Linked DNA regions of Ovis aries. The protein of the gene in region 1 binds, or shares a complex with, the protein of each later gene. Links are inferred from orthologs where the notes say so. Each region holds a gene or a part of one and is shown in the gene's direction. Other genes may lie near its edges.

Evidence for each region.
Region 2: the proteins of PPARG (region 1) and MED1 are in contact, whole or in part, in a crystal structure (PDB 6ONJ), measured with the Homo sapiens proteins. The link is inferred for Ovis aries from reciprocal best matches to the Homo sapiens genes PPARG and MED1. Residues at the interface, in NP_056953.2 of Homo sapiens: Val321, Gln322, Thr325, Glu326, Lys329, Phe334, Leu339, Asn340, Asp341, Gln342, Val343, Thr344, Leu346, Lys347, Gly427, Leu429, His494, Pro495, Leu496, Glu499, Ile500, Lys502; in NP_004765.2 of Homo sapiens: Asn638, Thr639, Asn641, His642, Pro643, Met644, Leu645, Met646, Leu648, Leu649, Lys650, Asp651.
Region 3: the proteins of PPARG (region 1) and CREBBP are in contact, whole or in part, in a crystal structure (PDB 7RLE), measured with the Homo sapiens proteins. The link is inferred for Ovis aries from reciprocal best matches to the Homo sapiens genes PPARG and CREBBP. Residues at the interface, in NP_056953.2 of Homo sapiens: Val321, Gln322, Thr325, Glu326, Lys329, Phe334, Val335, Leu339, Asn340, Gln342, Val343, Thr344, Leu346, Lys347, Leu496, Glu499, Ile500, Lys502; in NP_004371.2 of Homo sapiens: Asp62, Ala63, Ala64, Lys66, His67, Lys68, Gln69, Leu70, Ser71, Leu73, Leu74, Arg75.
Region 4: the proteins of PPARG (region 1) and NRIP1 are in contact, whole or in part, in a crystal structure (PDB 9CWN), measured with the Homo sapiens proteins. The link is inferred for Ovis aries from reciprocal best matches to the Homo sapiens genes PPARG and NRIP1. Residues at the interface, in NP_056953.2 of Homo sapiens: Val321, Gln322, Thr325, Lys329, Phe334, Leu339, Gln342, Val343, Leu346, Lys347, Pro495, Leu496, Glu499, Ile500, Lys502; in NP_001426204.1 of Homo sapiens: Ser130, Thr131, Leu132, Leu133, Ala134, Leu136, Leu137, Ser139.
Region 5: the proteins of PPARG (region 1) and NFKBIB are in contact, whole or in part, in a crystal structure (PDB 9CK0), measured with the Homo sapiens proteins. The link is inferred for Ovis aries from reciprocal best matches to the Homo sapiens genes PPARG and NFKBIB. Residues at the interface, in NP_056953.2 of Homo sapiens: Gln322, Thr325, Lys329, Phe334, Leu339, Gln342, Val343, Leu346, Lys347, Leu496, Glu499, Ile500; in NP_002494.2 of Homo sapiens: Asn286, Pro287, Ile288, Leu289, Ala290, Leu292, Leu293, Arg294, Ala295.

The regions. Positions count from the first base shown.
Region 1 is NC_056072.1:56,669,563-56,674,973, reverse strand, and holds part of PPARG (peroxisome proliferator-activated receptor gamma), read left to right. Parts: intron 1-3,955; coding exon 3,956-4,155; intron 4,156-5,411. UniProt on the Homo sapiens protein: Nuclear receptor that binds peroxisome proliferators such as hypolipidemic drugs and fatty acids.
Region 2 is NC_056064.1:39,605,763-39,611,658, reverse strand, and holds the start of MED1 (mediator of RNA polymerase II transcription subunit 1), read left to right. Parts: upstream 1-1,805; 5' UTR 1,806-2,014; coding exon 2,015-2,039; intron 2,040-4,089; coding exon 4,090-4,196; intron 4,197-5,896. UniProt on the Homo sapiens protein: Component of the Mediator complex, a coactivator involved in the regulated transcription of nearly all RNA polymerase II-dependent genes.
Region 3 is NC_056077.1:3,655,703-3,661,113, reverse strand, and holds part of CREBBP (CREB-binding protein), read left to right. Parts: intron 1-2,090; coding exon 2,091-2,333; intron 2,334-3,468; coding exon 3,469-3,571; intron 3,572-3,844; coding exon 3,845-3,991; intron 3,992-4,808; coding exon 4,809-4,926; intron 4,927-5,411. UniProt on the Homo sapiens protein: Acetylates histones, giving a specific tag for transcriptional activation. Mediates acetylation of histone H3 at 'Lys-18' and 'Lys-27' (H3K18ac and H3K27ac, respectively).
Region 4 is NC_056054.1:142,920,061-142,926,249, forward strand, and holds the start of NRIP1 (nuclear receptor-interacting protein 1), read left to right. Parts: upstream 1-2,098; 5' UTR 2,099-2,439; exon of another isoform or gene 2,440-2,781; intron 2,782-3,058; exon of another isoform or gene 3,059-3,325; intron 3,326-6,189. UniProt on the Homo sapiens protein: Modulates transcriptional activation by steroid receptors such as NR3C1, NR3C2 and ESR1. Also modulates transcriptional repression by nuclear hormone receptors.
Region 5 is NC_056067.1:47,981,273-47,987,384, forward strand, and holds the start of NFKBIB (NF-kappa-B inhibitor beta), read left to right. Parts: upstream 1-2,166; 5' UTR 2,167-2,231; coding exon 2,232-2,410; intron 2,411-4,638; exon of another isoform or gene 4,639-4,711; intron 4,712-6,112. Other genes in the region: SIRT2 (NAD-dependent protein deacetylase sirtuin-2), read right to left, coding at 897-943, 1,778-1,793. UniProt on the Homo sapiens protein: Inhibits NF-kappa-B by complexing with and trapping it in the cytoplasm.

The DNA.
Region 1 (5,411 bases):
GTACATTTTCAGTTGAAGGATTACATTTTAGGTGATGTGATCATGTCGCAGTGAATTTATTTTATCTTTATGAAGAAATCTTTGACTTTGAGGTCATTGTTACAAATACCTTGTAGGAAAAGATGTCAGTTTTGCTTTCAATTATATTTACTTTTCGGAGAAGGCAATGGCACCCCTCTCCAGTACTCTTGCCTGGAAAATCCCATGGACAGAGGAGCCTGGTGGGCTGCAGTCCATGGGGTCGCTAAGAGTCAGACACAACTGAGCGACTTCACTTTTTTCACTTTCATGCATTGGAGAAGGAAATGGCAACCCACTCCAGTGTTCTTGCCTGGAGAATCTTGCCAGGGACGGGGGAGCCTGGTGGGCTGCTGTCTATGGGGTCACACAGAGTCAGACACAACTAAAGCAACTTAGCAGAAGCATATTTACTTCTTGTCCTTTAAAAATTGTCACTTTTCGTATTGAGGTACAATATATTTTCTGTTGCTTGCACACATTCATGTAAAATACATCTCCTATTGTTTATTGTTTACAGGCAAATAATTTAAAGCGCAACTTTTATAGTATTGATGATATAATTTTCCCTTTCCAGAAAAGTCAAAGCTATCATAAGCATGATAATTAGGTCGGCTTTTGCCTTCTTGTGACCATTAGCTTACTCTATTTAGAGAGAGGAGCAGCCTTGTAGAGAGTGTTCGGTTAATTCTTACAAAGGTGAAAAAGGAAAGAAATTAAATATCATGGTATCAAAGGTCGTACTTTAGCATTTACAGGATTGCAAACATGACTAAGAAAATCCCTTTTCAGGGTTTTTTTTTTTTTTTTTTTATGGAAATGGGCTGCATAGAAAATAGCTAGGTTTTCCCTATTCCATCCACTTGAGACAGAAGTTTTATTTTTCACAAATATGAAAAGTTAGTGAAACCTTAGCTTTACAGAATTAGGCATCTTGTGGCTTAGACGGTAAAGAATCTGCCTGCAGTGTGGGAGACCTGGGTCAGTCCCTGGGTCGGGAAGATCCCCTGGAGAAGAGAATGGCTACCCGCTCTGCCTGGCGAGCTATAGTCCATGGGGTTCGCAAAGAGTCAGACACAACTGAGCAACCAACACTTACACCTTCACTCGCTTTGCTGATTAGGATGTTGTAGTATATAAATGATGCCTTTTTTCTTTTATTAAAAAAAAAAAAAGCTGACAACTTTCAAAATAACTTCTTAGCAGCTTGTTAAATTCTAGAACAAATGGTTTCACAAGTTTCTGTGGCTCTCCCCATTTTAAGGTAGTTCTCTTCTTTCCTGCAAACAGAAGCACCAGTGTATGTTGCAAAAAAGAAAAACCCGAATGGCAAATGCCTTTAAACTGCAACATGTTACTTTTTGTTTCTTTAGTCTTCTTTGTGGTATGGGGGAAATCTCCCCAAATTCAAATAACTTTCAGAAGGTTTAACAGAGTGAAAAGTCCTAAGGCGGAGGCTGTGGTGCTCACACCTTCAAGGGGTTCATTACTGCCCACAGTCCAGCCTCCACCGCCCTCTCCCACTGCTGCTTTTTCCGCTTACATTTCAGACAAGCTGTATTCTTGGCTGTTGCTGCAAATTACCTGGTGATAGAACACTCTGGGGCTCTGCTTCCTGTGCCCTCCTTCCCTGTCAAAATCCTACCTGGTGTTGAAGCCCCAAGTCAAACACCTTCTCTTCCATCCAGTTTCTAATTCCCCATTCTTTCTCTTCTGTGAGCTTCTTAACCTCTCCTGTAAGCACCACGTTCTCAGAAAGCAAGGGAGCAAAGAGACCTGTGTTGTCAAAAACCAAACTATTGAAAGCAGTTAAAAAAAAAAAAAAATGAGAAGTTAGAGAGGGAAAAGTCAGGAAAATCCATCAGGAGACGAGTGCAATCCTGTGAACTCAGACAGTGGGCATCACGCGAGGTGCCAGCATCGAGAGAAACATCACAGCCGTGACCAATGACTGCACGTGTCCGAGGGGAGAGAGGTTGTCAGAGATTACTCGAGGTGCTTAGTTTGGGTGACTGAGTTAATCAAGAAAGGAAAACTGGAGGAGGAGACAATTTGAAGGGGAAATGAAAAGTTTGATTTTCTGTTCCGTTAAATCATGGGCTCAGATGGTTAAGAATCTGCCTGCAGGAGACCCAGATTTGATCCTTGTGTTGGGAAGATCCCCTGGAGAAGGGAACGGCACCCCGCTCCAGTATTCTTGCCTGGGAAACCCTGTAGACAGAGGAGCCTGGTGAGTTACAGTCCATGGGGTCGCAAAGAAACATGACTGAGCCACTAACTTGAGGTGCCTACAGAATATCCAGCATCCACGGGCAAAGGGACACAGGAAGAAGTGAAAAATAAGGGTACAAATCTCAGGGAAGAGAGGGCAGGAGTCTTTAGCACATTTTATGCATTAGAGAGAAAACTTGAGCTAGGAATAACAGAATGTAAATGAAGGAAGAGGGGCTGTCGGAGGTCTGGAAACTAGCAGACAGCAAGATATGGGGAGCCAGAAAGGCAGAGACCAGTGTGAGAAACTTTTGAAATTAGAGGGTGCAGAAGGTCAGCAGTGTGAAGGGCTGGGAGGAAGCCAGGGAGCTCAAGCAGAACGAGCACTTAGAACAGGCCCCTAGATGTGACCGTTAGAGGAACTGTAGGGGCCTTTGTAAGAGCAAAGTTTTGGCAAATTTAAATGAGGAAAAGCTAGATTGCAATGGTGCTGTGCGCTCAGTCTCTCAGTCATGTCCTACTCTTTGCGACTCAGTGAACTGTGGCCTGCCAGACTCCTCCATCCATGGGATTCTCCAGGCAAGAATACTGGAGTGGGTTGCCATTTCCTCCTCCAGGGGATCTTCCCAACCCAGGGATTGAACCTGCATCTCTTGCTTCTCCTCCATTGGCAGGCGGGTTGTTCACCACTGAGACACCAGGGAAGCCCCCTTACTACACTTGATCCTAGCCAAAAGGCCAAGAAGCGATTGCAGTGGGTTGGGAGGTAATGAGTAAGACAGTGAGGGGCAACAGCTCTTTCAGTAAGTCCAGTGGTGGAGGAAAGAGCATGAGGCGGATGGTTCTGGGGTCAGAACCCTAAACCCTGCTTAGATGGAACGGAAGGAGCTGGTAGAAAGCAGTACAGGAGAGGGAGAGAATGATCCCTGCATATGTAGGCCCTCTTTTACATTTTGGATCTACCATACCCATCCTTTTCGTCCTTGTGTCCCCTAGTCCAGTTTTTTGAGCCGGTATCTTCCATCAAACAGGTGTTCAGTGAATGAATTAAAACGATGTCACGTAAGACTTCAGAGTCAGAAGATGAGGCCGTAGTATCTTGCTCATCTTGACTTTGGAGAGAAACCTGGACAAATGTTTAAATGTCCTCTCCAAAAAGTTTGAAAAAAGTTACCCGCAACTTAAAAATTACTTAATCGTGGTGATAAGACTGCCCCTTGTTTTACTGTAGAGGAGCTAGAAAATAAAATGATTGCCAAGTCCTGCAAAGCCTCCAAATGCGCATATTTTTTTCCCTCAAGAAAGAGAGGTGGAAAAAACATAACTTATTGGCAACAGTCATATGAAAAGCAATAGTGTTATTTTTCATACAAGTCTTGTTTACAGGCTACAGCTGTTGCAAAAGAAACATGTTAAAAGTGGAAAAACTGACCTTGAGACAAAGCCTTACTCATTGTCAAAAGCCTGATATGACTGCGAATTCACCCCTTAGATGTTAAAGGACAAAAATATTTTTAATAAGACTCAACCTAATTCACTTGCCACCCCTCCCATGTTCATTGCAGCATGATTTATAATAGCTAAGCCATGGGAACTGCCTAAGTATCCACTGATGGGTGAAAGGATAAGGAAGTTGTGATGTGTGTGTGTGTATATATATATACACACAGGAATATATATGTATATACAGGAATGCACTAATTCATCCCACCCTTTTCTTCTGTAGCCATCAGGTTCGGGCGCATGCCACAGGCCGAGAAGGAAAAGCTGTTAGCGGAGATCTCCAGCGACATCGACCAACTGAACCCAGAGTCTGCTGACCTCCGGGCCCTGGCAAAGCATTTGTATGACTCGTACATAAAGTCCTTCCCGCTGACCAAAGCAAAGGCGAGGGCGATCTTGACGGGAAAGACGACAGACAAATCAGTTAGTTCTCTTCTACTGTCTTCATTTGGGGTGGCTGGGTTTTGTTGTTTTCCCTTTGAGTAAATGACTTACCATGTTATGCACAGATGTGGTAAAGAAACCGCCTGCCATGCAGGAGAACCCAGTTCAATCCCTGGGTTGGGAAGATCCCCTGGAGAAGGGGATGGCAACCCACTCCAGTATTCTTGCCTGGGAAATCCCATGAACAGAGTAGCCTGGCAGGCTACAATCTATAGGATTGTCAAGAGTCGGACACAACTGAGCAACTAAGCACCCATGCATATATGTTGCGCGCGCGCGCGCACACACACACGCACACACACACACAGAGTACCATTCTGTGGTTGGCTGGTACCTACTTTAGGCTGAGTCTAAAATAGAGGAGAGAGAGCGTTTTCAGATACGGTAAATAAACATTATTTTAAATAGGGAAAAACTTCTTCAAGCTGTCCTAATTAAAATTTTGAGACTAGTATAGAAAGGTACAGGTCATCTTGGTGGTGGTTTAGTTGCTAAGCCGTGTCTGACTCTGCAACAGGTCATCTTAACTTGAACAAATGAACTGAGGCGTCCTTCATGCCACCATGCTCTTTCAGGATCCATATCTTTTCTTTTCTTGGCATCAAAATCCCTGTCCACATTTGTAGGCCTTCAAGCAGCCCTGTTTTTCTCTGGGAAGGGCCTGACCTAGGTTTGGAAAAGGTGGTCGATCTCACGATTGTGTCATGCAGAACTACTCAAGTACCTCTCAGAAGTTCTCTGTGGGGCATAAAAATATATTTCGGATATCACACCACCTTTCTTTCCTTGTAGAGCTGTCTTGATTATTATTCCCAGGGAGCTGGGAGCCCCGTCCTCATGTTGTATATATGAGTTTTATCTTCTCAGAGGCTCTGAGCAGCCTGGGCTGCTACAGGGGAGTCTCAAACATCAGCAGGCGCATTGATGACCTGTTCAGGAAACCCAGACTGGGTGATAATGGTGGTTGAGTCCGTTTTCCAAGAAGTAGAATTCTTCCCTGGTAACAAGTTGAGAAAGCACATGGGAATTATGTTGAAACAAACTATAACTGTGCCTGAACTCTGTCCCCAGCCCTGCCATCACCTTCAACTGTGACCTGGATCCCATCTCTGGACCACAGTTTTCACAGGCAGAGTCTGGTTTTGAGTACAATGTAGTAGGTTCCTAGGGTAGTAAGAACCACAGGACATTCTGAAGACACTGTCCCAACCCTTGAAAGCCTTTTCATGTCATTT
Region 2 (5,896 bases), on another chromosome or scaffold:
GCCGCCCTCCTAGATTTGATAGTTTAGCAGGGAAGACAGACATTGAATACATCATCATGTACTTAATTAAGTACTGAAATAGTATAACAGAGGACCTTATTAAGTCAGGGTTTAGAGAAAGTTTGCATCTCTAGTCCAGATCAAGAGACATTTACTTTGAGAACTATATAAGAGGGCCTCAGTGAGATGAGGGGTAATGGAGAAGGGGAAAGCCTTCCTGCAGCTAAAAAGGCCTGTTCAAGGACCTTGGGAGAGAAAGGAGTGAAGGAATTGTCTGCAGGTGGAAGGTCAGTGTGGTTGGGATTTGGCAAGGGGAGAAGAGCTAGATTGAGAGAGGAATGTTAGGACCAGTAAAAGATTTGCCTACTAAGCCCAGGTACAATGCTAGGTAGTGTGGATTTCGAAATAAGAAGCAATTACTGCCTCAAAAAACTCTCTGTGTAGTGACTGAAAGGAATGAGGGTAAGAGGAATAGACAAGAAGTAAATTTTAATTCTACTTTCAAGGAGCATGGTTATACATATCTTTGTCGAAATAAACATGTCACAAATAAAGATTTGTTCTTATCTGTCTGTTCATCTGAACTGTAGTTACCAGCAGGAATTGTTTTGGAGGATGTTTGCATATCATTTTTGAAATATGGGGGAAAAGTCTGAGACTAAAGAGCCACTGGAAATCCATTGCTAAATATCCTTACAGCAAATTAGGTAAAATTTCAGCAGTTATTCTCAAGGATGTATTTCAAAAAAAAATTATAATAATAATAAAGAAAAAAAAAAAAGAGTAACCTTAACTATTTTAAGAACTTCCACCCAGAGCTAGTAGAATTGTATTTTAGTCTGGTTCTTGTTCCAATGGGCAGGAACTTCTAAATTCTCAGCATTAATCCAGATTTCTCTTCGTGAAAATTTACTGATACAAGAGACAGGACCACACATTCTTTGTGATTTGTAGTGTAGAGTGTGAGCTAACCTGCTTGCTTTTACTGACTACAAAAAAAATACAATCCATTGTGAACACCTTTGGGATCCTAAATATAATCGATGACTACTGAATATTCATTGGAAGGGCTGATGCTGAAGCTGAAGCTCCAATATTTTGGCCACCTGACTGACGCGAAGACTCCACTCATTGAAAAAGACCCTGATGCTAGGAAGGGTTGAGGGCAGGAGGAGAAGGGGAGGATAGAGGATGAGATGGTTGGATAGCATCACCGACTGGATGGACATGAGTTTGAGCAAGTTCTGGGAGTTGGTGATGGACAGGCAGTTCATGGGGTCTTTAAGAGTCGGACACGACTGAGCGACTCACCTGAACTCATGACTGTTGCAAACAAGTTTTTCTTAACTCAAAATCTTCCACGTCCTCAGAAATATTGAAAATGCTCAAGAAAAATATTTCTGAAATTAAAAAGGAAATTCGGTAATGGAAATTAAGTGTACTGGGCTACTTTGGGACGTCGTGTTACAAAGACCCAACGTCTAGTATCTCAATAAAGGGAAAGTTTTAATAAAATATTCCTAACAGCAATATTCTTCGAAAAGCTAGCATTTCAGTAAAGACAGCTGGGGCTTTTACTTTGCAAACTGCTTGAAAGCCAAATCGAAAGTGCCAACTTCCACAGAGGTGTTGAACACTAGCACTACACAAGCTCCACGCCTAGCTCTGAGAAGTCGGAGACAAACCAGAGAGCAGGCAGGGTGGGGATAATCTCGCGAGAAGCAACGTATAAATCATTTTTCGCGATATTTGGTGCCCAGCCCCTTTCCCCCTTCTCTCTCTCGCAGGATCACGGTTAATCTCGCGATCTTTTGGAAGTTCCGTTGGGGAAGATGGCGGCGGCCGCGAGCACCCTTCTCTTCTTGCCGCCGGGGACTTCAGACTGAGTCTTCCCTGGAAGAGTGGGACTGCAGGTTCCCTGCGTCCCGGGAGCCCGAACCAACTTGGTTCCTCCATTACTGGTGGGGAAGGGCATATCCTCTTGTGTAGGACTTAGGCCCTCCCCGCCGTCAGGATGAAGGCTCAGGGGGAGACCGAGGGTGAGTGACTGAGGGGGAGATCAGGGGGCGGGACACAGCTGGGGGAGCCAATGCCTCCGCGGGGGCCACTCTCCCGAGGGCTCAGGATCTAGGAGGCGGGATATGTCTGAGTTTTAGATTCTGACTGCCTTCCTTGGTGATGGAGAGCTTCGACTTTGGGGAGATGGGGGCTCCCAACTTGAGTGTGAAGGTTTCCTATTTGGCAAGGGGCAACATTTGGGCCTCAGGGCATTTTTTAGCCTAAAGAGATGGGAGACCGGGCAAGTGAACGTAAAACTTTCTTCTTCAAAAGAGAAATCTGAATGATGACATAAAACAATAATAGGACGCTATATATCAAAGTACTGTAAGATGTTTTGTCGTGAATGAAATGATTAGGTCCTTATGGTATTAAAAGCCAGTAGTTTTAAAAAATGTCACAGCGTTCATATCTTGTAGTATTGTATATTTTTAAAATGCTTTTAATTTCAGTCTTTAAATATCTGAACTAAAAACTGTTGAAAAACACTTTTCTGTGTAACTTTATATTCTCTAAAGTTCCACATTTCAGCTTAGATGCTCCGTTAGCATTTTGGACATAGTTCTGTTGATACAGGATTATTTTTTTGTCTTCTCCAATGTGCTCTGAGCTTTGTAGAGCAGGATCTTGCCTTACTCATCATTGTATAGTCCTGGGCCCATAATGTTGTGTTGTTGTGTTAGTCACTCAGTCGTTTCCGACTCTGTGACCCCACGGACTGCAGCCCACCAGGCTCCTTCACCTATGGAATTCTCCAGGCAAGAACACTGAAGTGAGTTGCCGTTTCCTTCTCCGGGCACATAATAGTTGCTCAAAAAAACGTTTCACTGAAGCATTTTTGTAAAGATTTATCGTCGGCCGCCTTAAGGGAGAGAAGGGAGGTGTGTTTGAAGGAGAAAGAAAAAAGGGTGCAGACGAATGACTAGTGTAAGTGGAATCTTAGTGAGGCAGGAATTTTGTCTAGTTTGCTCACTGCTGTATCTCTGAGATGTAAAATAGTGCCTGAGTGAATGTCTGAAATATGGGAATTGCCAAACATTTCTCCAGAATTATAAACTGAATGAAACAGCCCCAAGAACAGTTTTCCAGAAGATGAAGGCCTTGGAGGGAGGAGTTGAATCTCGATCTGAAGATGTCACTACTTCATCTTTGATTGCTGACATTCTATTCATCTTTCAAGACATCTTTTCTGTAACATCCCTAAACTAATTACACACTTTTCCTCCTTTGAATTTTGATAGTAATGTGTTTCTATTTTTAAGAGCATATCTCATTTTGCTTTGTATGATGGTTATTTTCACATTAACTTATCCACACCCCCTCACAGATGTCATCTCAGGCATATTGTATTTTTGCACTGCTGGTCTCCAGCACAGTCCTTGCTCATGTTAAGCAGTTAAAAGAATTACAGGAGTGTTGGAGGTTATAGGAGGTTCCTTCAAACACTATCTGGGATCCATTCTTTTCTACCTTTCTCTTACCTTTGCCTGAAACTCATCCTTTAGTCACTTGACATTTCCTTTGTTCATATAGTTTGAATTCGAACAGGAAATAGCTGAATGGCAAATGAAGCTTGTTTTCTTGATAATACTTACAAATTGATCTCTTAAAATTATGTGAAAAAATTAAGAAAGTCTTTATTTTCACATTGAAAACCAACTAACTATAGTAAGGCCATGTTCAAATGTATGCTCTGCATATGTCATGCAAAGGATTTCATGCCTATCATGAAATTATTTTGTCATTAAATAGTAGTCTTGATCCTCAGGACTGGAGGTGGTTCTTTTTTTGCTTCTCATTAAGTCTGAAGAGAAAGCAGTCCCCTTCTATAGTGTTGTTAGATTAGGCCCATAATTTCTGTCTACTTGTTATTAGAAATGAATTCTTTGTGTATTTTGAAGTAAATGATATTGGATAAGATTTTAACTTGAGTTCGTACCAGGATGAAGTATGGGAGTTTTGTTTGCAAGAAAAACTGTGGAAGGTCTTGAAAGAAGAGTTGCTAATAATTTTTTCTGATTTATATCTTAGAGTCGGAAAAGCTGAGTAAGATGAGTTCTCTCTTGGAACGGCTCCATGCAAAATTTAACCAAAATAGACCTTGGAGTGAAACCATTAAGCTTGTGCGTCAAGTCATGGTGAGGACTATGGTGAACTGGATAAAGTGTTGTGCTTAGAAAATTATTTGATAAGCTAAGTTACCTATGTAGACTTTTTCTAGCTAGTCATTATGGTGTGTCTTCAGTTTTATTTCTCATAACATGATGGCTTTCAACTTTTAAGTCTACCTAAGAAGAAGATATGTTAATAGAATTGTGTTAATCATGAGTTATAGTAAGCTGGGATATTTTAGGCAAAAGTTGTAAGAAACACTTACAGAGCGTAATTAGTTTCCTAGTGACCTAGTGTTTAGGATTCCCAGCTTTCATTACTGTAACCTTGGATTCAATCCCTGGTTGAGGAACTAAGATCCCACAAGTCCCACAGTGCTGCCAAAAAAAAAAAAAAAAAAGATACATGTGATAGCCTGATATAGAGAAACATTTACTTTTTACTTCCTGTCAAGCTCCTTGATTCTAATGTGTTAATACTTTCATTGTATCTATACTGGTAGAAGAGTTTGCAATCATTTTTATTAACTTCACTTGTTTACTCTGTGACTTCCTCTACAGTACTTTCTCCTTCCTGAGGCATTCACCAGTATGGGGAGCCCTTAGTTAAGTGGTATACAGGGAGTGGGGTGAGTGTATAGCACAGCACTAGTAAAAGAATTGAATTTGCTGTCAGAAAAAGCTTTATTTTAATCTTGACTCCACTACTACCTGTGTAACCTTGGACAAATTGCTTGTTTTTTCCTACCCTCAATTTCCTCATCTAGGAGGTAGAGACACCAGTTTGAGTAAGATGAGCAACACCAGTTTGCTTTTTCGCACAGTTTTGCTGTAAAGATCAAATGAGATAATGAACACCAAAATGTCATGTTGCTTAGAGATTTCCATAACTAAGTTCTACAGACATCTTCTGGCTCAGGATTGTATACATAAAAAAGATTTGTAGTTTTTTTTTTTTAAGTTTCAATGAGAATTTTTCCAGTCTGGGTATTCAGAGGTTGTCATTTTTGTACTAGAAGGCAGCCATATTCTAGTTTGAGATACCACCTCTAAATGATATTGTCATTAGAGAAACATCATGAGCTAGAGGACTCCAGGTGGCTACTACGACCCTCTCTTGGGTTACCAGTTCTTGGTTTGGTCACCAAAGTTTCCATTGTCTACTTGTCACTTTTGCAGATTCAGAAACCTGCTTTTATTGGTATGTAAAAGATTTTGAAGAATTTTCAACAACTCTGTGTGTGCATGCTAAGTCTCTTCAGTCATGTCCAACTCTTTACGACCCTATGGACTGTAGCCCACTAGGCTCCTCTGTCCATGGGATTCTCCAGGCAAGAATACTGGCGTGGGTTGCCATGCCCTCCTCCAGGGGATCTTTTAAACCCAGGGATTGAATCCATGTCTCCTGTGGCTCCTGCACTGCCGGCAGATTCTTTACTGCTGATCCACTGGGGAAGCCATTTTAAAACTGACATACTAACAAAATCTCAGTAGATTAATATGAAAGTCAGAATGCCAGTTTATTAATGAGGGTTTGTCTTTCCAGTTACCAAAATACTGGTATCCATTGCCTAGAGCAATAGACACAGTCCTTGTCTATTTAAGGTATAAAGGAATCTGGATTATTAATTAAGCAGATGTTTGGGAGCATGGAATTAGAGCCAAGAAAGATGGATTTAGGGCGTGGAAAAGCCTCAAAACCTATCCTTGTATCATAAAACTGCTGA
Region 3 (5,411 bases), on another chromosome or scaffold:
CATCTTGAGCTTGTAGGACTTAGAGTTTGTGGTGGCTTTCACCAGGTAACTCCCCTTCCAGCCATCTGCCCCGTAGGAAATGCCTGCGTTCCTTGTCCCTGAAGCATAGATGTTATCTCATAGCTGCATTTGGACTCAGATTGGGCCATGTCTGTTTTTCAGAGACCTTTTTATTTGTTTGTATTTTGTTTTCCTTGTCTCTAAATTAGTTAAAAATGTCAAGTACCAAATGCTTGTCTTCAGATAGATATGTTTTCTTTTAAAGTAAAAAAAAAAACCACAGTAATGTGTACTTTAAGACATAAATGCTTTTAACACACACAAAAATTACATTGACCAAGTCAGCAGCTTCCATGAGAGGAGGAAGTCCGTAAGTAGTCCATAAGTGGCCTTGAGCTTGGGAGTGGCCCTCCTCCTAGGATGGGGAATTTGGGGTAAAAGGATGGCATTTGGGGAAGTGTGGACATGAGTGGATTTTAGTAGAAAGAAATCATTGTTGAGGCACTGCTATTGCATCTTCACCCAAAACCCAAAGCCTTGTACACCTTGTTTCTTTAAATTCCTCTCTCTCCGCAGTTGATCAATATGCAAGTCAATATAGGCCTAGGTCTGTTCCTCCTTACCCCACAGAGTAATAGAAAAACAAGTCATCTTAGCACTGTCACTTGCCTTTCTCCACTGCACTTCCTTTAGATGAGTCAGCATGTCAGTTTCAGTAGTACAATGGCATGTGCTTAAAGTTTCGTGGAGTATTAACTATTAGAAAAAATACCTTTAAAAGTATTATACATGACTTATTTAAGAGCTACATACTTATCATAAAATGTACCTTGGAAATTGCTTTTCATTTATAATAATGAGGTGCTTGGTGTATATAATTGTGTCTAATGAGCATTAATGAGTTTGAGATCTGAATATTCTTCTTAGAAAAGTTAAATAGTATGGAATATGTAATTATCAAGGGCTTTTTTTTAAACACATTTTGGTTTCGTTAAGTTACTCGGATAAGTGTTTGAGTTGTTTATATTATAATTGTGCTGATGGTGATGTGAAGATATTATTATTACAGTAATGGTCTGAATTTTAAAGAAAAATTTTGTGATAGTGTTTTATGTCTCAAAGATCTTATGTTATAGTATCAGTTTTATAACCTGCTGTTTATGACATGGCTCTGAAGTTTGGGGAAGTTGGAAAGAAAGGAACTGTTAAAAATAAGAATCAGTGGTATGATGCAGAACTTCTGCCATATGTTGAATCGATTAGGACATTTGGACGATGGACAGACAGACGGACAGATGGGTATTTGGGTCTTCTCTGTTAACTTTGAAGCCCTTGGGAATGGAGCTCTTTATGTTGCTACAGATTTTCCTCAGTCAGCCACGGTATTTCTTGAACAGCTTCACATAGCAGAGAGCTTAGCATCGTGCCCTCCCACGTAGGAAACTCGGAGCAGAGAAAGGCGTGGTGTTGCCTGGTCACTGTACACCATGGGTTCAAGGAAATGCAGTTTTGTTTTTTGGAAGATTGTGTCAGAGATCGTAATTAAGTTACTGTTACTTGATACCTTTAGTAATTAAGATATTAATTAGGTTAATAAGTAACAGAACTGACCAACTAGGCGTCTCCTCCGCTCCTCCTCCTCTTCCTCCTCTGTGCCTGTGCACTGAGCAGTGAGGGACCCCGAGGAGCAGCAGCAGGAGGGGCTTCTTAGCTCGCCTCAGTGGAGGCTGATGACCCCCATGTTTTCCCATGTTTGCTGTTTCCCCAGAACAGACTTCTTATGAGCCTCTACATTTAATACACGCTGACCTTGACTGTGTGATCGCTGATTTTCTGGTCCGTTGTTTTCTAACATAGAAGCTTGAATTCTCTTCAGATTTTTGTTCTTCGGGTGCCGCTGTGCAGATGAAATTAATAGAATGGGCTCCTTCTGTCTGCACAGTTCCTTTCTTGGTAGCGGGGTTCCAGTGCTTCATGATATACATAGGTGGTCTTCTGATAAAATTTTACTTGTTTTTCAGTCGTTTTTAACTCACTTGTAGACTTTTCCCTTTTACTTATCTCTTGTGTTTGTCTGTTTGTTCTTATAGCCATCCTGGGGTCTCCAGCTAGTGGAATTCAAAACACCATTGGTTCTGTTGGCACCGGCCAACAGAATGCCACTTCTTTAAGTAACCCAAATCCGATAGACCCCAGCTCCATGCAACGAGCGTATGCTGCTCTTGGACTCCCCTACCTGAACCAGCCCCAGACGCAGCTGCAGCCTCAGGTTCCTGGCCAGCAACCAGCACAGCCTCAAACTCACCAGCAGATGAGGAGTCTCAACCCCCTGGGTAGGTGAAAGGACTCTCGAGAACTTCCTTGTGCAAATGCAGTGTCGGGAATGACGAGCCTTCTGGAGCCCAGGGCTGTTTTCAGCTACTGTTTTACTTTAAATTCAAATTTTAAATTTAAATATATATATATGTAATAAAATTCAAATATATATATTATGGTGAATGGTGTCTTTTAAATGATTAAAATAAAAAAATTCCAGGAAAAGGCTAAAGAGTCAGGTACACTGAAGATGTTACAGGCTTGTAAGATGAATCACATTTGCAAATGAACCAACATTTTTGTCACTTGTGTCTGGATAGTTTTCATAAAGGGCATTTCACATGGCTCAGAATGCAAAATCTCACAGGTTGGAATTAGGGCAGTACCACTTGCCTTGACTCTGCAGCTCCTAGCATTTCTTGGTTGTGGACTACGTGTGACTAGAGCCGACCAGTCTGAATCCGGCCAAGCTAACAGGGATCTCAGAACAGGGTTGTTGTGGTGGTTTGGTTCTTTTCCTAATAAAGTATTTTCACTTTAAAGATACTTCATCTGTTGCGTGTTGGGAAATAGTTGCCCTAATGCATCTCTGACTCCTGCTGGCTAGAAGACTGGGTTGGAGTCTTGAAATGTCCCTTCCAGTCTGACACCACTTCTGTTGGTGGTATAATCTGGAACAAGACTATTAACCTGCATCCCACCTTTCTCTTACTTTAGAACGAATACTGTAGACAAATTGACCTTTTGTCTTCTTCACGTGAAGTTAATTTCTATGATTTTTATCTTCTGATATGCAAAACAAAAAGATGAAGAAGTGTATGTGATGGGAATGAAGCCAGAATCAAAACCGAAGCTGCAGATGGATCATTTCTGATTTTTTTCCATAGCCGCCAAGCATTCATGCTGCCAGCCAGCCTCCGTAGAAATGCTCTTCTTTGGTTTTCAAGTGCGATGGGAAGCAATTGAATTTATACAATTTGACCACCATTATTGAAAATATAACTCCCAGAGTTCCTGCCATAGCATTTATTATTATGAGTCATAAGAATAATTTTCATAAGAATCATTTCTTTATATGTGACTTATCTGTTATTAGGACTTTGAGGTGTATAATTTAGGAGCTCGTTGATTCCTTTTCTTTTTGTCTTTCAGGAAATAACCCAATGAACATTCCAGCAGGAGGAATAACAACAGATCAGCAGCCACCAAACTTGATTTCAGAATCAGCTCTTCCAACTTCCCTTGGGGCTACAAAGTAAGACCCTTGTTTCATTTGGCTCCTGTCTGAGTGACAGTCACATGTTAAAGTGGGCTGGGAACCACATAGAACTCTTGGTTCTTTCTAAAGTGTAGGGCTGTTTCCCTCCCTCCCTTCTCTCTCCCTCTCCCCTCCCTCCCTCCCTCCCTCTTTCTTTCTTTCTAACAGATAACAGAGTTTAAAGTCACATATGGTTGAAGACCCTTAGTTGGATGAATGTCATGTGAGTCACTTTTCCAGTTGGATGACCTGTTCTTCCTCTCCCCTCAGCCCCCTGATGAATGATGGCTCAAACTCTGGGAACATTGGCACCCTTAGCACTATACCTGCAGCAGCACCTCCTTCCAGCACTGGCGTTCGGAAAAGCTGGCATGAACACGTCACTCAGGACCTGCGGAGCCATCTAGTGCATAAACTGTACGTGGCCCTCTCGCCTGTTACTCACATGTGATGGAAGCACTTTGTGACTGATGGCAGTGTGATAGTTTTGCAGTTTCCTGGGTATCTGATTTAACTCCCAGGTGTTCTTTTGTGTCCCAGGTGATCATACCCTTGCAACTGAAGGGGATCACGTGCTTGTTTAGGGAGGCTGGAGGATCCCAGATTCTGAGTGCCCAGTGGATCCTGGAAAGGAATATGAACTTTGACCCATGTCACAGGGGCAGGCCTATTTTCTAAACTCTCAGTGCATGGGGAGCTGGAACTCACTCAGAAGCTTGTCTTATTTTATGGCTCAAGGCTATAGTTGTGGGGAGCCCTGAGAATTGCAGGAATTTGGGCCTAGTAAATACGGATGGCTTCACAATACCATCATACAATTAACATGGGAAATTAATAGTTGATTTCTCCAGCAATTTAAGTTAAATGAAGGGTGACATTAATCAACTCGATTCCGATGGAGTTTTCTTTTTTTTCTCCTTCATTATTTTAATCAAAATTTTTTGTACTTAGTAGTTTAAAGATTAGGAATTCAAAATCATATTATTCTTGAGTTGGTCAAGCACTTATTGTTAATAGCAAAATATTGTTGTGTTTGATTTGTGGATAAATTGGCAGATCAGCATTGTCTCCAGAGAGTGACTGCGCATGAACTAGGCAAGAGATTGGGGGTCTCTCAGCAATGTACTGTGCCCAGAGGTAGACCGCGGTTTCTTCTCTTCCCGGGTCACGTCTGAAATGGCAGGATGTTGACATTGTACTAAAAGTAGGTTGAGAGTACGCGCTGTCCTTTCAGTGTCCAAGCCATCTTCCCGACACCTGACCCTGCAGCCCTGAAGGATCGCCGCATGGAGAACCTGGTGGCCTACGCTAAGAAAGTAGAAGGGGACATGTACGAGTCTGCCAACAGCAGGGTGGGTCAGCGTTCGCGTTCCAGCCGCATGGCCCCCGGGTGACCTGTGACTGCAGGTCTGGACGTGGGGAGGAGGGGGGCTTCCATCAGCCTGCTGGTCTCCTCGCCTGAGGACACTGACCAGGGAGATGTCCCAGCTAAGACTTGAGGTCCTCCCTGCATACCTCTCTTGGTTTGTAACTGCAAAATCTTAAAGTGTCCCCACTACAGGGGTAAATGAAGTTTTTCTAATTTGTGGGTATACTTTATAGTGGAGTGTTGTTATACTATGTTGTCACCTGTGTCAGTGAGTATGCAAGAAGAGGTTCAGCTGTGGAATGAACTGTCATGAGGACTTAGTACCCCCTGACTGTTAAGTCACATAGCATCCCTGGGCTTTGGTTTATGAGTTAGAAGTGCTGAATACTTTACCCAGTGTAAATAATTTTAATTTAAAAGTTCATTAGTTTGTTAGACCCTACAAAACCAGATCAGTTGTTTGTTTGC
Region 4 (6,189 bases), on another chromosome or scaffold:
GGAACCCTGAATTTAAAAAATAGTTGTGTGTGTAAGTATAAAAGCTCAAGAGCATCTTTTTCACATCACAATTGGTTAAAATGAGTTGACTTCAAAATACAAATTCCAGAATAGGCATTCTTCTATTACATATATGCCCCAGTATCCTTACAATGACTCTCTTAGCCAGGAAATTTAGGTATTGATTTTTTTAAAAAACAAAGTACAACAACAAAATAGCCCTAAAACAATTAGAATGATTAAAAATGAATTCCACAAAGGTGTGCAATTTACTTAACATTAATGTACTATCAAAAAGAGTTAAGGCTTTCAATGATTGGATTTCTGTGGGTTTGAGAAGATAGATGAAGAATTAAGTGAGGAGCTCTGTTAAGTTATCTAACATTTTGCAGTAGACTTTTTAACAGGAGTGTTAAAAAGGGCAGGACCTGTATTTGGCTTGTTGCATTAACTGTGTAATCTTATTTACTAGGAGGTCGTTTATCTACCAACCACAATGATCTAAAACCCAGTTAAGAAGAAAAAAGAATGATTTTAAAGCATCATTTGAGTAGTCCACATATCTGCCACAAGGTCGATGCACTAAAGTTCACCTGCCTTTCTCCTTGGTGAGCACATCAGTTCCTTACATGGCACTATTTTGTTTTACTTTAGACTGAATGGTGACAAATGAGGCTATCTGGAATCTCAGTCTGCACCAGACTAGCAGTTGCCAATCAGAAGAGGAGGATAATGTTAGAGACAGGAACCCTGGCAAAAGAGAGAAAAGATTGTTAGTTAGGGAAGGGGGAGAGAGAGCAACTATGAAAGACAGAGATGATCACTGGATCATAGTATCCTGGAGTCCTTCAGGGAGAGGACTGATGGCTTCTATTCATCCTGGGAGCATCCCTGACTCCTAGGAAGGAGCTTGATAGAGAACAGGAAATTGATGTAGTCCTTAAATTCATTATAACCTACTATCAAAATTAACTCTGAATTTTCAAGAAAAAGCCAAAAAATGGCTTAAGAAAATAGAAACATTTATAATACGTTTTCAGAAAATCTTTGTACAACAGTTTTAAAGAAAATTAGTTTGATTCCTTAAAGGGTCACACTCCAATAATGCTGCCTATCACTTAATTCAAACAGTTGGCTCTGAATCAATCCTGGATAAATGTTGTCATGCAGAACAGTGGACTTTACTAAGCTGCCTTGAACAGATTTCAAATGGTGGTAGATACAAATAATAAGCTCTCATATGAGGTTTAAATATATAAGATGGCAACAGATCGCACAGTTGAAATCACTAGGGTGATGTAAAATAATTGTTCTAAAATGCACTATCACCATGAAGAAAAATCTTCCTGCCATGTGCCCAGCACTGTGCTAGGTGCTGTATTATTAAGCATTCTTCTGAAATATCGCTTTCCCTTTTAAGACTGTGAAGGTGTTCCCGAATCCTCATTCATATTTTTAAAGGTTAAATGACATTTTACACGCACAACACAACCATTACATAACAGGCATAGAATACTGTTCTATGACTTGGATAGTTTTGTGTTTTTTTTTTAAGTGCACTAGCAACTTTATTTTAAAATGCTGTCGAATCCTTAAGGATCTGAAAACCTACACATAGGAATGGAGTGTCTTATCCACTCACTTGTTTTGTGTAATAAGTGTTTAAACACAGGCATGCCATTTCGGAGTTTACAGTGAGCCTAAGCTGTACTTCAGCGTTTTTGCAGCAAGCAAAAACAATTTCTGCAACGGTCCTCATTTCCCCTGGCAATTTTTTTTTTTTTCTTTTTCTTTTTCATGGCGAGTTACTAAATGCTAGATGCTAGAGTCAAAAAGAAACCTGACATCTGGGGAGGTGTTGCGGGGGTGTTAATAGTTCTAGCTTGATGTTTGGGGAGAGCCTTGAGGATAAGATTTTAAAACAGCAAATACACGGAGAAGGGGGAAATGATGGTTTCGGATGACTCTCTCCTCCCTCCACTTTCTCTCTTCACCAATCCGTATCCCCCCCAATTTAGAGGCGGGTTCAGGGAGATCAGGCTGCAGGAAACCAGGAGGCTCTCCGGGGCTGCCGCCCCGGCCTCGTGATGTAATTGTTATTTCTTACTCGGAGCCTGAACCGGCGGAGAGCTGCCCGAGAAGTGGCAGCTGGGTGCCTTCTGCCTTGTCTTGGAGGGTCAGGTTCGGTCCGAGGACGGTGTCGATTCGAGGAACGGCTCCGCTGGAGACTTCGCAGTGACAAAGCAGCAGAAGATAAACCCTGCTCCCGTCCGAGGAGCTGAACCCGGCGCTCCTCAGGTCTCCTTCCCAGTTTTCTTCTCGGACTCACCCGCCGATTATCCCTGGGTGCCTTCTACGTGCAGGGCGCGGGATCAGAGGGACCCGCAGTTAGCCCCCCCCACCCCCGGCCAGACTAAAGCAAGACACACAGATTACAAGGTGGTGGAAGTTGGGGGGGGTGGGCGAGAGGGAGCCCAGGAGACACGGGTCGTGGGGTGAAGTGGGAGGAGAAGGAAGCCTAAGATGCCGGCACCCAGGAAGGGACCCGGGGCGTCCCGACCCCCAGGCTGAGCCCCCTTCGCGGGCTTTTGGCCTGGGTCACGAGAGTGGTCCCCACCCCCCCGGGAGCCCCAGGAGGAGCTGTCCCGGCGCCTTCGGCGGCGGTGGGGGCTGCTGGACAGAGCTGGGAGCCGCGGGGAAGGGCTCGGGGCGCCTGGAGCACCCACCTCTCCCGGCCGCCGCGCTCTTCCAGCTGCCTCGGGGCGCCCGCAGCCCCCGCCCGGCCGGCCGGAGGGCGGGCGAGGAGGAAAACCAGCCAACCGAGGGGGCCCCGCAGTTCCCGCGAGCCTCCGGGACCCGAGCGCGTGCCTGCCGCCCCGGTGACAATGGAAGAGAGGGGGAAAAAAGGGTTAAGAAACTTGGCTGAAGAGCTGAATGGCGTGGAGCGGCGAGGGGAGGGACTGGGCCGCGGCCGCCTCGGCGGCGGAGGGAGGAGCGCGGCTGCGGGCGGGCGGGCGGGCAGGCAGGCGGCGAGCGAGGCGCTCAAAGTCAGCCTCGCAGACATTGCAGCAGAGCCCCGAACTCGGGAGGCGGCGGCGGCGGCGGAGGAGGAGGCGGCGCGGCGGCGGCGGCCGAGGCGGAGGGACGACCCGGCCCCGCGCTCGCCCGCGCGCCCGCCCGTGGCCTCGCGGCGGCCGCTGCGCCCGGCAGCGCTGCCGATCGCAGGGAAGAGCTCGCCGGGGCGCCGAGGGAGGACGGGGCGGCGGGGCGCCTTCGCGGAGTGAGCTGGCCGGAGCCCCGGCGCTCGGAGCTGCGGCGGCCTCGGGTGAGTGGCGGCCGCGGCCGGGGGGCTCGGACGAGCGGCCGCCGCCGCCGGAAATGGCCGGGAGCGCGGCCCGCGGCGGCGTTGGCTTGGCGTTGGCGGGCAGGGCCTCGGGGGGCGTCGGGGCGGCGGGGGGCCCGCGCTGCGGGGCGGCGGGAGCGGACGCGGACGGCGGGGTGAGCTCGGCGGAGGGGGACGGCTTCCGGGCAAATCCCGCCTCTCCTGCCGGCTCCGAACCTGCCCGGGAACTCGGGGGGCCCGGGCAGCGGGGCCGGCAAGTTGTGGAGTTGGCCCGGGGGCTCACCGGCGCGTTCTTGGCCGTCCTGGGCCGGGGACGGGAGGGCGGCCGCCGTGTTGCCCCGGACCCGGGCCGGGGTCGCGCCCCCGCTCGGCTGTCCTCCTCGGCCCGGAGCCCCGGGCGCTTCTCGTCGCGCCGTTCTCAGTCCTGCTGCCCCGGGCGTCCTGGGCGGCGCCGGGCGCAGCTCCCCCCGCCTCTCGCCCGGGTGCCTCCCTGCTCTGAGCTGGCCGGATCCCGGACTGGGGAAAGTGGGTAGGCAAGGGGACCGCGCTCCCGGCCCCTAGCCGACCCTCGGGTCCAGCCAGGCCCGTTGGTACGTGTCCTTCCCCTCCCGAGGGCGAGGCCCCTGGGACCCGAGGCCTCAACCATCACTTTTCTCCGGAGCCAGAAAACCGGGCTCACCTCTAGAGTGAACCCCGTGCAGGTCCTGGGAGGCTTCGTTTTTCTCTCCTACATCTATGTGTCCTCTTCTACTACTAGCGGATATTGTCTTATGAAGGGTTTCCCGGGAAATATTCTGCAAACCGTCACAACCCTTCCAAAGTAGTTTTCCAAATTTTAATCAAGAGTTGCTGTTCCGTCTGGAGGAACAAAGGAATCAACTATGTCTTAGAGGCGAACAGTCTGCGAGTCTGTGACACATGTTGATCTCTGAAGTATTATAGGAGTTTTTACCTTCTATCTCGTTATTGAATTGAGTTTTGAAGATAGTAGACGGACAACAGAAGTACTTTTGTGTTTAAAAAAAAAATTTCAATAAGGCGTTTTTATGTTGAAAAAGAAGTAATACGTTCTTAGCCACAGGGACTTTTCACTCAGTTGGTGGAACTGAGTTGGAGTTTGTCTCCGGTAATATAAATGATTAAATGTGAAATTGTGCGGGGCGGGGGAGGGGTTGGGGAGGGGGTACTGTTCTTAGAGGAACAGAGTCCATAGGATGAAAGTGAAAAATGGTTGTGGAGTTACAGATGATGGTTGTTTTTTACGTTTGGTGAGGGAGTGATTTGTGAAGCAGAGGGCTCTGGTAATTCATTCTTTAAAGTTATGAATTGCATTGAACCTGCTTATTAGAGAATCATGACTTTAGCAAGTGGGTGGCATCTTCCCGATGTGATTCTTCAATGCTTAATCACTAGTTTGCCACCTTTGTTGTTGAAGACACAGTGAGATAAGTGGACTTTTTAAACAAATGGTGCTTCCTCTGCCTGGCACCAAAGTGTGGGTTGCTGCCTGGAGTATGTTGAAATGTTTTCAGCTTTGAAGTAAGTTGCTCTGGTTTTGCCCAGCGTTTTGGTAATGTGGTTTGGGTTTAACTGGTTTCAGAGAGTAGTGGCTTCATCACTAGTGCTAACTTTTCTCTGCTTGAAATTAGTTCCTAAAGACAAAGAAGATTCCAGCAGTGGAACAGCCATTATCCTGCGGGCTGCAGGATTATTACTTTAGTCTGTTTCCTACACTCTGGTGGGGAAAGACCTCTTTCCACACTTACGCCTTGAAACTGCCCTAGGAGCATGAGTAAAATACTTACAAAAAAACAAACAAAAAGGACTCCTCATTGTTGGTTTTACTCCAGTGCGCTCTCTACAGTGCCTTTGAGGTAGTTGAAAACCAGGTTTAATGCTTGGACCACTTCCTGTGTGGGTCTCCAAACTTTTACTAATTGTCCACCCTAAAACTGTATAAGTTTGCAGTAAAAAGACATGAGTAAAAGAGGCTGAAGGCTCCTCTGACTCTTGCAGTTTTTTTAAGAGCAAAACATCATGATAAAAAATAACCTATACCACCACCTAGAGTCTGTTTGTTAGTTTATTGCTCCTGAAGTTTGCTTCAGTGGACATGCCTCTTGTGGTTCTGATACAGCCAAAGAATTATTAAGAAATGCTAACTTTCAAAAGGCCATCCAAGAGAATGATTATTTGCGTGGTAAATAGCAGGTGCCAGTTTAAATTACGCATGCTACCTTTACAATAGAAAATGATGACATACCGGGTTAAGTGGGCTATTCACCAAAAGATATTAATTCAAAAGACTTTAAGAAATTTTGTGTCTGTGCTTTAGGTAGTTCTAATTGCTTAAAGACTCTCTGCATTGTTACCAGAGATTCAAGACCTCTTACAATTTAATACCATTAGGACTTCCTTGAGGTCCAAGTGAAACAAAAGCAATGATCAAATAAAAATATAAGGGAGCATCAGAACTCCAGAAATTCTGGGAACTTTAAAGGTAAGAGAGAAGGTAGGCTATAGTAAAGTTGCAGTTCAGAGATGTGAAAAGTAGCATCACTATGAAATCAAGTGGCAATCTGTCCTGCTGGTAGTTTTTACATAGTGAAATAATCTGTTAAATGGGAGGATGGGAGACCTTAAGAAGATAGCTCTGTTGCCATGTGGTTTAGTACATTGTCCAGGGAGGAAGTAACATTCCTTCTTTAAACAGTGTAACCCGAGAGAAAGATGGCCTCCAAGATCTTTAATTAAATACCAGTTGAACAGAGAAAACTAGAGCACTGTATTAATTCTGTCAAACATCACTATTTTAGAACATCGAGGACAACTAAAAATGAATTAAC
Region 5 (6,112 bases), on another chromosome or scaffold:
CTCAGGGGGAAGCTGAAGGTGATGGTGGAGCCTCTGTGACCCCTGCTTCCAGTGAAGTGTCTGGGAGGCAATATGTCAAGGCACCGAGGGTTGCAAACCTGTCCCTGCTCTTCTAGCCAATGGACAGAGGACAAGTTGTTAAAGAACTCAGTTTCCAATTCCTTGGCTATAAAATAACCACAGTAGACCTGTACTCCTCCCCTCCACCGCTGCCCCCAGGATGCTAGGATGCCCATCAAATAAGCAGAGTACTCAGTTGGCTTAAATACTCAGTAAGTGCTAACCATCAAGGTAATCAGCCACCTGAATCCTGAACGCATGACACTCTTTCATGCCCCCCAGGATACCCTCTGCCTGGGACACCACTTCTCACCTTACCTAAGAAAATCCTAAGTTACTCTCCACTGACTACCGTGTGCTGTATCTCAGTCTGACTCTGAGATCAGCCTGTGGACTCTTGCCGGGAAGGGATTGGCTGGAATCTGTGTGATCTCACACGGTTTACTCTGCGCTCCCAGAGTGCCCTGCGCTACTTTCATGATCACCAGTAGAGTCAGTGTCGAGTCACACGTCTGTGAGATCTGTGAATTCAGGAGCCAAATCTCTTCCACGCCCACTGGGAACGAGGTTCAGGAGGGAAGGTGGGTAGGAGGGGTGAGCAGGGAGAAAGGAAAGTTTGCAAGGGCAGGCCTAGGCTTGAGGCCGCACACCCTTCTCTGACAGGCCCCAGAACCCTCCATTCCCCCAGGAGCTAAACCACAAGGTGAGCCGGGGTGAGGAGCTGGGGCAGTGAGCTGAGGGCCCTGGGGTATCTGACTCCCCTCTGCCACCTCCCCCCAGTGTGGGGTGTGGGAAGTCCATCTCTCTCCTTCCCTCCACCCTTGTCCCCATCTCACCTGAGCCTCCTGCACCTTCCCTGCCTGGGTCTCCTCAGGGTCAGAGGCTGGGGGAGGAGGGGGAGCAGACGTGGTTACAGTGAAGGGATTGGTTAAGGGGGAATGAAGGGCTTCTAAGTCGGGGTAGAGAGGGGCAACAAGACCTCCAACCTAGTTATATGGGGTGGGGGTATCAAAAGGGAGTAGATGGAGGGAGGGAAAGGAAGAAAAGCAGATCTTATTAGAGTGGAGAGTGCTGGGAGGAGAGGTGGTTGGTGAAGGACAAAGAGGCTGGGACATGGAGGCTTAGGAAAGCGAAAAGAAAGTAAAGCATATAAGGGCATGAAGGAAGACTTAGGAGGAGTTAGGAAGGACACAGTAGTGTGTGAGTGTGTGCTGGGAGGGTTAGGTTTACAAGCAGAAGAAAATGTAGAAAGAAAGAGAAGATAAGGGATACTGGGGCTGGAGGCAAGTTTGCAAGAAGAGGTGGTGGGGGCGGAACGGAAGGGCGAGATGGCAGGTTTACAAGAGGAAGGAAGAGATAGGAGGGGACACCAGGGGTCCCCAGCACCCTACAGTTCCCACTAACAACCAGGTACCCTTAGCAACCCGGACAGCGGTATTCTAAGTCCCTAGTAACAAGGGTCCTTAGCAACTAAGGTGCGAGACACACGCTATCATTAGTCACTTAGGGGAAGTGGCAAACGGACCCTTAAAACCTCGAGACCCAGAAACCCACCAATCTATCCAGCAATATATATCACAACGGCTCCCTGAACCTCATTCCCCTCCATGCAGCCCCCATCTCCTGCCCCACCACTCCCGCCCTCGGGCCCCGGGGCCTGCAGCCCTCAGCCAGGCCCCGGCGCGGCCCGACCCTCCCACCAGGGCCCCCGACTCACGATCCGGATCGGCCATGGGCGCGGGGCGGGGGCCCTCGGGACTGTCACCGACTGCTCTATCCCGTGACGGCACCGGAAACAGGAGGGGGGCAGAGATAGGTCAAAGAACTACAACTCCCAGGAGGCATAGAAAAACGTCCGGAGCGTGCCCCTCTGAGGTAAGAAGAGACACGCGAGAGCCGGACTACGAATCCCAGAGTGCCTCGCGTCCGCAGCCATGTTGGTAAAGGGCGCGCGGAATGAGTGGGAAAGGGTAGAGAGTCGCAGTCCATCTGAATACTCTGATTGGTCACGGTGTAGTATGAGGGCGGGGCGCTTACTATTTAGCCGACTCTGATTGGATGAGTCCGGGGGGAGTGTTGGGGAATTCCCAGCAGGGCGGAAGCGCCAGAATTCCAGGCAGAGCCCAGCGACTGGCGGGCAGCCGCTGGGGTCCCCTGAGGCTTTGGGGGCTATGGCCGGGGTCGCGTGTTTGGGGAAAGCTGCGGACGCCGATGAATGGTGCGACAGCGGCCTGGGCTCTCTGGGTCCGGACGCGGCGGCCCCTGGAGGACCTGGGCTAGGCGCGGAGCTGGGCCCGGGGCTGTCGTGGGCGCCCCTCGTTTTCGGCTACGTCACTGAGGATGGCGACACGTGAGTGAACCTTAGCCTGCCACACCGAGCCTTAGGATGATCCCACATCTGATTCCCTGTTAGTCCCTGATACTGATTTTCCAACCTCTTAATCCTAAATCTGTCTTCTAATGCTTACTCTGACCTCTAACCCCCGAGTCTAACCCTTGATAAAATCAATTTCCAAGCTAGTTTTTATCATAACCCCGTCCTTTCTGAAACTTTGGCCCTCAGAGTTTCATATCCATTGACTAATTCCACATTCAAAACTCAATTTGAGCTTCCTGACCCCAGTCCTGAGACCTATCTTAAAACTATAGCTCACAGGCTCCTTCTGACATCTCACCTCCAAATATGATCTTTGATCCTTAGCTCCTAATTTAGGAGCTTTAAATTTTGATTTCCAAAATTAACATTTGGCTTTTGACTCTAAGATCTCCCACTTTCTGAGCACTGATCTTCAAATCCTACATTGAAAGAGAAAATGTAAACTCTATGACAGCAAGGATTCATCTGTTAAACAAGTATTTATCTAGCACCTACAGCGTTTCAGGCCCAGTTGTAGATGCTGGTGATAAAGCAGTGAAGAAAGCACAACAACTTATGCCTTGTGGAGCTTACGTTCTAGTGTGGGGGGTCTATAAATGGAAGGGCAGACAGACTGACAGGAAGGAAGAAAGGAACAGTAGGAGAAACAAAAAAGAAAGAGAGAAGGAAAGAAAGAAACAGAGAGCCGTATAGACACAAAGTAAGAAAGAGAGAGGAGAGAGAGAAGAAACAGGCAGAAAAACGAACGAAAGAAAAATGGTGTGTCAGAAGACAGGAATTTCCTTGGTGAAAAATAAAGCAGGAAAGAATGAGACAAGTAGATTATCTGGGGAGAGTATTCCAGGTAGAAGGAACGACGTCATAAAGACCTAATTGAGGGAATGTACCCGGGGTTTTTGTGTGTTGTGTTTACTGCCGTAGCCCCAGTGACAGAACGGTGTTTGACCCATAGGAGGCGCTCAAGAAACACCGGTCTTCCCAGAGAACCAGCTGTGCTTTCATTTATTTTCTCTCGTCTCTTTTTTTGCTTTCTGTTGTGTTTATCTCTGTTTTGACTTTCGTTATTTACTTTCTTCTGCTTACTTTGAGTTTATTTTTGTTCTTTTTCTAGTTTCTTAAGGTGAAAGCTGAGGTCATTGATTTGAGGCCTTCCTATTTTTCTAATATAGGATTCATGTGAATTTCCCGAAGTAGTGCGTGAGCTGTATCTCATCACTTCTAATGTGCTGTGCTTTCATTTCCACTTAATTCAGTATAGTTTCTAATTTCTCCTTTGATTTCTTCTTTGGGCGGTGGATTATTTAGGAGTATGTTATTTAGTTTCCAGATATTCCGAATACCTTCCTTTTATTGGTTTGTAGTTAAATTCTATTGTGTGTGCAGTTGAAAAGAATGTCTGGTATCTTGTTGTTGAGTGTAGTTCTCCAGATGTCAGTTAGAGGTTGTATGGGTTTCTTTTCTAAAACTTTTATTGATTTACTTTTGGCTGTGCTTCGTCTTTCTTGCTGCCCACGGACTTTCTCTAGTTGCGGTGTGAGGGCCTCTCATTTTGGTGGTTTCTCTTGTTGCGGAGCAGTGTCTCTAGGGCACAGGCGCAGTAGTTGCTTCGCGTTGGTTTAGTTTCCCCGAGGCATGTGGGATCTTCCCGGATTAAAGACTGAGCCTGTGTTCCCTACCTTGGCAGGTGGATTCTTTAGCACTAGACCTGTAAGTCCTGTGCTGGTTTCTTTGGTTCTTCTCTTTTCCAAGTCTATTATATCCTTGCTGGTAATTTCTCTCTACTTGATCTATCAGTTACTGAGAGTAAGGTATTGAAATCTTTAATAATAATTGTGGGTTTCCTTGTTGTTTTATCAGGTTTTCCTTCATGAGACTGGATGCTCTGTTATAAGGAGTGCAAATGTTTAGGTTTATTGTGTCCTCTTCCTGAACTGACCTCTTTATCATTGTGAAATAATCTGCACTATCCCAGGTAATATTCCTTGCTCTGAAATCTTACTCTTATTTTAAAACACTCCTACTTACTTTTGACTGACAGGCGTTAGTATGGTATATCTTTTTCCATCTTTTTATTCTTAACTTAGTTTTAAATTTATTTGAAAAGCTGTTACTTGTATAGTTAGGTTTTGCTTTTTAAAAAAAAATGTTTATTTTTAATTTATTTGGCTGCATCGGCTCTAGTTGCAGCATGTGGGATCTTGTTCCCTGACCAGGGATTGAACCCTGGCCCTCTGCATTGGAAGTGCAACGTCTTAACCACTAAACCATCAGGGAAGACCCTAGGTTTTGCTTTTTTATCCACTCTGACAGCTTCTCCTTTTTTAAAATTTGTGTTTATTTAGCTGTTTCTTTTTGGCTGCACTGGGTCTTGGTTGCTGCACACAGGCTTTGTCTAGTTGTGGCGAGCGGGGTATGCTCTCTAGCTGTGCTGTGCAGGCTTCGCATAGTGGTGGTCTCACTTGTTGGGGAGCACGGGCTCTAGAGCACACAGGCAGTTGTGGCACGTGGCGTTAGTTGCCCCACGGCATGTGGAATCTTCCCAGACCAGGGATCAAACCCATGCCCCCTGCCTGCCATTGCGTTGGCAGGCGGATTCTTAACCACTAGCCCACCAGGGAAGTCCAGTGTCTACCTTTTAATTGGAGTGTTTAGACTATTTGTATTTAATTAATTATTGATATGGTTATGTCTGTCATCTTGTTATTAGTTTTCTACTTATCTCTCCTTTGTTTACCTTTTTTTCCTGCCTTTTGGAATGAGCACATTTTGTTCCATTGTATTTGTTTTGTCGGCTTGTTACCTTTTACTCATTATTTTTTATTTTACTGGTTGCTGGGAAAGATAGGTTGGCAAACTGGTTTCCAGGCAAAATCCAGCCAGGCACCAGCTTTTGTATGGCTGTGAGCAAAGCATGGTTTTTTACATTTTTAACTGGTTGGAACAAAATCAAAAGAAGAACATTTCATGGCAAGTGAAAATTACATGAAATCCAAATTTTAGATTCCGTAAAGTAAGTTCTGTTAGAATCCCGCCGCGCCGCCCATTCATTTATCAATACATATCACCAATGGCTGCTTTTGTATGCTAATAGCAGAGCTGAATAGTAATAGACAGACCATAGCATCCACTAAGCCTGAATTATTTATCTGGCCCTTTACAGAAAATGTTTGCTGACTCCTGCTTTAGGGCTTCTCGTGGCCCGTGGGCTTAGTACACGCTCCCCAACCAGGGATCGAACCTGCGTCCCCTGCATCGCGCGGCAGATTCTTCACCACTGGGCCACCAGGGAAGCCCCCACTTTACCTTTATTATGTGCCACCTTCAAGTGCTGTTGTGCTCCTTCTCATAACATAAAAGAACCTTAGAATCGTGTGTTTCCATTTGTCTCTTCCTGGCCTGCAGTGTGTTGCTGTCACAGATTTCCTTTATCCATGTATTCTAAACTTCAGACGTTGTTACTTTTGCTTAAACACTCCTTTGTTTTTAAACCCTATCAGAAGATAGGAGATTTACATATTGAGAAAGAAAAAATCTTATGTACTTACGCATATAGTGACTGTTTTCAGGGTTCTTTATTTTGTTTTCCATATTTTCATTTGATGTCATTTTCCTTTTTGCTCACAAGTTTCCTTGAACGTTTCTTGTGATGTGGGTCGGCTGGTGATGAGTTCCTTC